Linked DNA regions of Anolis sagrei. The protein of the gene in region 2 interacts with the protein of the main gene of each other region in a pairwise test. Links are inferred from orthologs where the notes say so. Each region holds a gene or a part of one and is shown on either strand. Other genes may lie near its edges.

Region 1 (3,927 bases), on a different chromosome or scaffold from region 2:
CATAACCAGCCACATCCTGTCTCTGGAGGCTTAAAGTCCCATCAGCCCTCTCCGCAGAAAACTCTTCCATGGAGGAGCCATAGAAATCCACTTGCTCGTCGTAACTGCCTTCGTTGGCTCGCTCACCATACTCCCTTTCCACCTTTTTCTCGCCGACGCGGAGATCTTCGGCAGCGGAGGTCTGGACACTGTGGTCAGCCTGGACAGTGTTTACAGACTCAGATACCTGCTGTTCATCGTAAGGGCCATGCACTTCCACAGCTTCACAGTCCTGGACAAACCTCTCCGTTTTGACGTGGATCCACCGCTTGTGAGACATGATGCTCGGCTTGCTGTAAAGTGGCCTCGTGTATTGATAATCCGCACTATCGCTCACTCCTTCTTCCCCATCCTGGCTGGTCATTCCTGTGCTCAGCCCATCATGCTCCGTTGAAGAATTGCTCGGAAGATACTCATGTTCTGTTAGTTGAGATAACAGCTCATCCTTGGAACTTTCCTCCTCGTTCTCCCCATCCCGCAGTTCCTGCACTTTGTGAAAGTCAGCCTGCTCAAAGCTTTCCACGAGGCCGTTGTAGTTACTGCTGCTTGGAGACTGATGGTCGCTGGTACGGTTCAGCTTCTGGCAAAGCACTGACGGGTTCCCTTCCAAAACCTCCGTGCATTTGTCGACGACGTGCCACATCTGAAGGAAGCTCGCTGCTGTGAGGTAGCTGACAATCTCCGGAGCGGGCATGACCAGCCGTCCCGTGTAGGTCGACAGGAGGATGTTCTCAAACACTCTGGGGTTCATGACGTCAGGCAGAACGATCCTCCGGCTATTTTTCAGGAGCACTTGGTCGCAGAAGTAAGGGGAGCTGGCTGCCAGGACAGCTTTGTGGGCTCTGAAGAGGTGGCCCTGGACAACAATCGAAACATCGCACAGCTGCCCTTGTTGGCGTTGTTGGTTGAGCTTCTGCAAGATGGTGCTGGAGAAGTCGGGGAACTCCACTCTGAAAGAATTGGTCCCAGGCTCCATTTCATCAGCAGACTGCAAGGAAAGACAATATTTAGTTCACGAATAGGAAAGCAGGGCTGTGATTTGTTTTCTCCCTCTCATGACCAGCCAGACTTCCCCTTAGGAAAACGTTATCAGTTCTCAGGAATGTAAGAGGAGTCTGCTGTTGCCCTCATGCTCTGCCTTTGGGCTGTTCATCGCTGGTCATGATGAAAATAGTGGAACACGTCCAACATATTTCTTTTTATGTTCCAATTTGTAATTCATAGGAAAGTCATGATAGAAGAGGATTTATTTCTTCTCTTTCACAGGGCAAACAACCAATCTATTCTCTGCTCAAGACAACAACAACAATAACAACATGGTCACCCTGCTCCTTACAAGGTCTGTTGCAGTTCAGAAGAGCAACTGATAGAGCACACAAACAATTTCAGATTATGGTACATTTTGGATTCCCAGATAAGGATTGCTGAGTCTGTAGGAGAATTTATACCATATAATTAATACTGTTTGATACTTTAGCTGCCATATTATTATTATGGCTGGATGGCCAACTGTCAGGGGTACTTTGATTGGGTTTTTCCTGCATGGCAGGGGGTTGGACTAGATGGCCCATGTGGTCTCTACTAACTCTATTGTTGTTATTATTATTATTATGGCTGGATGGCCATTTGTCAGGGGTGCTTTGATGGTGCTTTTCCTGCATGGCAGGGGGTCGGACTACATAGTCCATGTGGTCTCTTCCAACTCTATTATCAGTATTACTATGGCTGGGTGGTCATCTGTCAGGGATGCTTTTATGGTGTTTTTCCTGCATGACAGGAGATTAGACTATATGGCCCACGTGTTCTCTTCCAACTCTATTATTATTATTATTGCTGAATGGTCATTATCAGTATTACTATGGCTGCATGGTATCTGTCAGGGGTGCTTTGATTGTGCCACCTCTATCATCATCATCATGATCATGGCTGGATGGCCATCTGTCAGGAGTGCTTTGATTGTGCCACCTCTATTATTATTATTATTATTATTATCATCATAATTATGGCCAGATGGCCATCTGTCAGGAATGCTTTGATTGTGCCACCTCTATCATCATCATCATGGCTGGATGGCCATCTGTCAGGAGTGCTTTGATTGTGCCACCTCTATTATTATTATTATCATCATAATTATGGCCAGATGGTCATCTGTCAGGAGTGCTTTGATTGTGCCACCTCTATCATCATCATCATCATCATAATTATGGCCAGATGGCCATCCGTCAGGGACTTCTTTGATTGTTCCTTTCCTGCAGGACAAGAGGTTGGACTAGATGGCCCATGTAGTCTCTTCCAACTATGTCATCACCATCATTATTATTATGGCTGGATGGCCATCTGTCAGGGGTGCTTTGATTGTGTCTTTCCTGCAGGGCAGGGGGTTGGACTAGATGGTTCATGTGGTTTTTTCCAACTCTATTATCATTATCATTATGGCTGGATGGCCATCTGTCAGGGTTACTTTGATTGTGCCTTTCCTGCATAGCAGGGGGTTGGACTAGATGGCCCATGTGGTCTCTTCCAACTCTAATATCATCATCATTATGGCTGGATGGCCATCTGTCAGGGGTGCTTTGATGGTGCCTTTCCTACATAGCAGGGGGGTGGACTAGGTGGCCCATGTGGTCTTTTCCGAGTTTATTATGCTGTGATTCTATGAAACCGCGTCAATCCTACAGTGCAGATGCCCCCAGGGCAAGCCCCACCTCTTTCCCCTCTCCCCCTCCTTCCCTATCCTCAGCCCAAGCCAAGCCTCACCTCTCTGAAAGGCAAGGCCCTCGGCGAAGCGCTCCTGCCTCACATGGCGGGCGAGCCCCTCAGGCTTCGCCTCCACCAGCCCACCACTCAGGCCCGGAAGTCCTAGTCTCTTCCTTCTTCCGGTTTTCTAGCCCCGCCACATCCGCTTCCGCCTTTAGAGTTAACCACAGACTTGCATGATAGATCTATACAAGCAGAGGTGCACTTCCTGGTTGACGCCCCCTTTTGGTTGTCTGTGGTATTGCCACACTGTAGAATGAATGAATGAGTGCAATTGGATGCCATTGTTTTCAATAGCCGGGGCTCAAAAGCTATGGAATCCTGGAAGGATGGTGTACTGGGTTGTTGTAGGGTTTTTCGGGCTGTATGGCCATGGTCTAGAGGCATTCTCTCCTGACGTTTCGCCTGCATCTATGGCAAGCATCCTCAGAGGTAGTGAGGCCTGTTGGAACTAGGAAAAAGGGTTTATATATCTGTGGAATGACCAGGGTGAGACAAAGGACTCTTGTCTGCTGGAGCTAGGTGTGAATGTTTCAACTGACCACCTTGATTAGCATACAATGGCCTGACTGTGCCTGGAGCAAACTTTTGTTGAGAGGTAATTAGATGTCCCAGCCTGCTTCCTCTCTGTTGTTGTGCTGTTGCAATTTTAGAGTGTACTTTTGCATAGAGTACTGGCCAGAGCAAAGGCAGAGGGGAGCAGAAGACATTTCCATCTTGTCTTTACTAATAATATAATATAGTATATTGTATACACTTATAATATTTATAATATTATAATGTAATACAATATAATACTAGCAATAATAATACAATATTATAATTATATATTTACATTACATGTAATATTACTAATAATATTACAATATAATGGTATAGTGCAATATAGTAATATCTAATACTGATATTGTACTATACTAATTATATACTATATTGTATGGAATTATATATTGTAAGCCGCTCTGAGTCCCCTTCGGGGTGAGAAGGGCGGCATATAAATGCCGTAAATAAATAAGTAAATAACAGAGTATGTAAGAAGCCAATGAAATCCACAAATGTGTGAACAATTTCAACAGAAAGGAGGAAACCATGAGAATGAACAAAATCTGACTACCAATATTTTAAAAACTC
Region 2 (3,927 bases):
TAAGCAGAACAAGTTGATATTCTGACACAGGTAATGATGATTCATCCCTAGCAAATCACACGTGGAACATTTGGCAAGGGGCTTATCTAAATTAGGACATTGTTCTATGTCAGTAACAGCAGGTCGACTTTTTGCTCTCAGGAAATGGCATTGCTAGGTCCAGCATAAGCTTCAGAAATCAGGTTATTCCTGCTGAAATCACAGCAGCCATCCTGATAGCCGGCAGTCTGCAATGATCCAGAGCAATCCATGAGAAAAAGGGTTTAGGTGTGCAAGTCAGAAATATAAAGTTTGTAAAGTTCTCCCAACTTCTTTTATTGGAAAAAAAACTGTTCCAGAGAAAGCTTTTAAACATTTACCACAACACATTCTGATGCTTCATGAACAGGATTTATTGGCATCAAGGCTCCATCTCAGCAGCCCTTCTGAATGCTGATGTTCAATTCTATTATTACTCTACACTTTTCAAAGAGGACAAAGGCAGTTTGGTATCAGCAGAGCCCAAATCCTTCATGAGTGAGTCAAACGCAGCTGCAAGTACTCTACCCATCTAGGATCAGGGTTTTCAGTCAGTAACAAACATGAGTCTACCTCTTCTCCCCACCCTCTCTATTCAATTTGTTCTCAGTAGGTTACAGGGATTCAGATCTGTGTCAAAGGCTGTAAATGTTTTGTTGGCACATTAGAAAAAAACTGTAATAATCCATGAAGCAATAAAAGATATCCTTTTTGCCTTATGGCTGAAAAGTCAGACTCTGATAGTTGCAAAGCAAATCTTTCTTAAGGGCACAGTGAAGGCAATTTCAATAACTGAACTCTCATGCAGAACTATGTTCAAATTTTATTGGAACATATGCTCAACAAGCATAGACATCTGTATCTTTGTACATAGAGATGGCACAGAACTCTCCCTGGTCCTCTAAGGTGAATAGCCATTATTGCAATAAAATATATAGATCACAGAAGAAAATCTACAGTGCAACTGAGAAACTATTGTGTGCGGAATGTAAGATAAACCCTACTGGATGGCAGTTGCTGGATCAGACTTCATTACATTCTCAAAAGTGGATGGCCAATAACCTCTCAGACAAATCACAAACAGGGCATGACATCAAGATAACAGTTTTCTGCCTCAAGGATCCCAATAATGAGGAATGTTTCCTCGCCTTTACCTGTCACAGCTAAATACCATTAATGATGTGGCATCTATATCTTCTGCTATAAATCCTGAAGCAAGCTGTGAAATGGCTTTCTATTCTTGGTTTGAAAGAATATCCAGACATGGAATAACACTACAGTCTGACATGGAGTTAAAAAAGAAACCCCCTGTTTTCACCATCACAAATTTTGTAAAGCTGTGCTCAGTTCCATCATCTGATGGAAATGAGTATTTAGAATTAGCAAGGCACTCTATTTCTTCCATGGCGGGATGCTCAGATAATTGTAAACAATACTTCTATTTACATTAACATTGAGTAGTCAAATACACAGATGCCCTTTTCAAACACACACACAAAGTACACGTGATCTCAATTTAGTTCTATTTTCACATTTAATAACTTCCTCAGATTAATTCTCTTCTTACACTTTTTAAACAGGGAGAAAGTATTTCAACTATTACTCTACCATTACCCTCCTGCTGCCCTCCAGTTCTTTTTAAGGTGATTTTACTTTTGACTAGACACTGAACCTTACAAAAATGTAGGTGAATTTGTTGGGGCACAATTCCCTGACAAAGGTTTTGGAAGTACAGAGATGATGAAAATCCAAAACCTCAATACCAGAAACAACATCCCCCTGCTCCTGGCTTTAAACTATGTCCTCTTCACATACTCTTCCCACTTCTATCCTTGCTTGCCTTCCTTACAAAAACTTGCAGCTTTCAACAGGTTTCATCCAACTTTCCAACAACATGCAGCTACAAGGGACAGAATAAGATGAAGGCAAATGTCTATATAATCAAGGGATAAAGGAGGAGATTTGAACAAGGCTCATCCCTTTTGAAAGGAAAGGAGGGGGGCCAGACCTCTTCTCCCACAGTCTCTTTAGGCAATTAATAGGAAAGCCCTCCCCTACAGAACAGGGGGCACTGTACCTGGCTCAGGATTACTCAGGTCTGGGAAGATGAACTGCTTGCAGGTATCTGGGTCCAACTGAGGTAGGCTTTTCTTGCGGCACAAGTCCGTGACAATCCGAGCTGCTGTCTGACAGTGGATTTCCTCTTTCGTGGCGGTCATTTCCCAAGCTGCATCTCCCTTTGCCTCCTACCTGGCTGACTAGGAGAGATTCCAGTGGAATAACAGCAGCACACTCACAGTGTCACACAATCTAGGAATCCACTACTGCCTGGGGTCATTCAGGCACCTCACCGCCCTGAAGGCCACTCTTGGAAGATATACGCTGAGTTCTGGGCTGAGCCTGTGCCACCTTGATGCCACTTTCAACAAACCACCACTTGCTACCGGCACCTTGTGATTGCCTTGTTGCATCCGATATCAGAGAGCTGTATTTACTGCCAAGACGTGTGCTGCACAAGGTTCCTCCTCTCCAATTCACTTTGACTCCCTCCTTGCATAGTTTTCAAAGCCAAATTCCAAAGAAGCTCTTTAACCTCTTCATTGCTGTGCCTTCCCTTCCAGGTGGTGGTGGAAGAGGCATTGCCAGGGACTTGTACGAAGCAGTAAAGCTCTCTCTGGAGCTCATGCAAGGTGGGGTGGCGGGAGAGAGAGCATTGAAATCCTCCAGCGCAGCAAAACAGCTTGTCACAACACAGAGCTGAAGCTGAGCAACACCATTGGTTACTAGACATGCTGTTTTCAGCACAAGGGAGGGAACAGGTTTTATTTATTGGCTTATTTCAGCCCTAACATGCTAAACTGCAGATTGCTAATAGGGCGCCAGCCCTGTTTTGTGCTCAGTAATTAGATCATTGTTTTAATTTACAGTACCACTTCTGGGCTCCCACTGCCAGATCAGGCTGTGCAACCAATCTGCACGTAGAGGAAGTGCCAATTGTCAGGCATGAGCAATGATCCCATAATGGGCAATTAGAACAATACTCAGTAGAAATGAATTCTGGAGTGGAAGAGAGGAGGAGGAAGAAGAAGCAAGTCTAACAACATAAGAGATGATAAGGGGGCTGCAGCCTTGTTCTCATGGATCATAAGTAAGTGGGTGTGTGGAACAATGCTAATGAACATATAGTGTCAGATAATTACCCGTTAACGTAATTTTACAGGATCATGATGAATTAGTGTAAAATAATAGCATGTTCTAATTCCAGATAGGTGGAACTTGAATATCATTGTTGCCTAAAAAAAGTCACAAATAGATGAAGAAAGCTTGGCTATGGCCTCTCAATAGTATTTTGCTTACTTCAAAGGGCAGAGAGAAAAGACAAAAACGGAGAGGGAGATTAGAAGAGTCAAATAGTTAAAAAGAAACAGAAGACTAAAGGAGGAATTAGCAGAGCCTTATAAACATATGAATAGAGTAAAGACGCTGAGGAGAGAAACTTATGCATATCTGCTATTTTGTACTTTCAGCATTAATTTCAAAATTCCACGTCGCCTGTAACTTCATTGTTAGTTTGTACGGCTTTTGTAGGATTCTGTGGTATAATTCCTGCCACTCTTGCTTTTCCCTTCATATCTTTAGTTGCAATGTCAATGGATTATACAAGAAACAAGGTAGTAACTATTCAAGCTTCTGTCTTAGCTTTTCAAGTTCTTGTTCATCTATCCTTTCCCAAAATGTACGTGTAAAATGGCCATGGCTGAGATGTATGGACTTATTGTGCTGAGCAATCAAACCTGGCTATTTTTACCACCCACTAACAAATCACACAACAAAAGGAAACTAACTAACAAAATGTGGACTAAGGTAAGCTGATGCTAAGATAAACAGATCGATAGATGGACGACATCC

The links.
Region 1: the proteins of SYT6 (region 2) and ZBTB43 interact in binary tests that used the Homo sapiens proteins (3 or more experiments, as listed by UniProt). The two-hybrid records come from large-scale screens. The link is inferred for Anolis sagrei from reciprocal best matches to the Homo sapiens genes SYT6 and ZBTB43.

Annotation. Positions count from the first base shown.
Region 1 is NC_090031.1:7,995,079-7,999,005, reverse strand, and holds the start of ZBTB43 (zinc finger and BTB domain-containing protein 43), read right to left. Parts: upstream 2,920-3,927; 5' UTR 2,797-2,919; intron 1,028-2,796; 5' UTR 1,016-1,027; coding exon 1-1,015. UniProt on the Homo sapiens protein: May be involved in transcriptional regulation.
Region 2 is NC_090024.1:202,976,405-202,980,331, forward strand, and holds the start of SYT6 (synaptotagmin-6), read right to left. Parts: upstream 2,766-3,927; 5' UTR 2,238-2,765; coding exon 2,096-2,237; intron 1-2,095.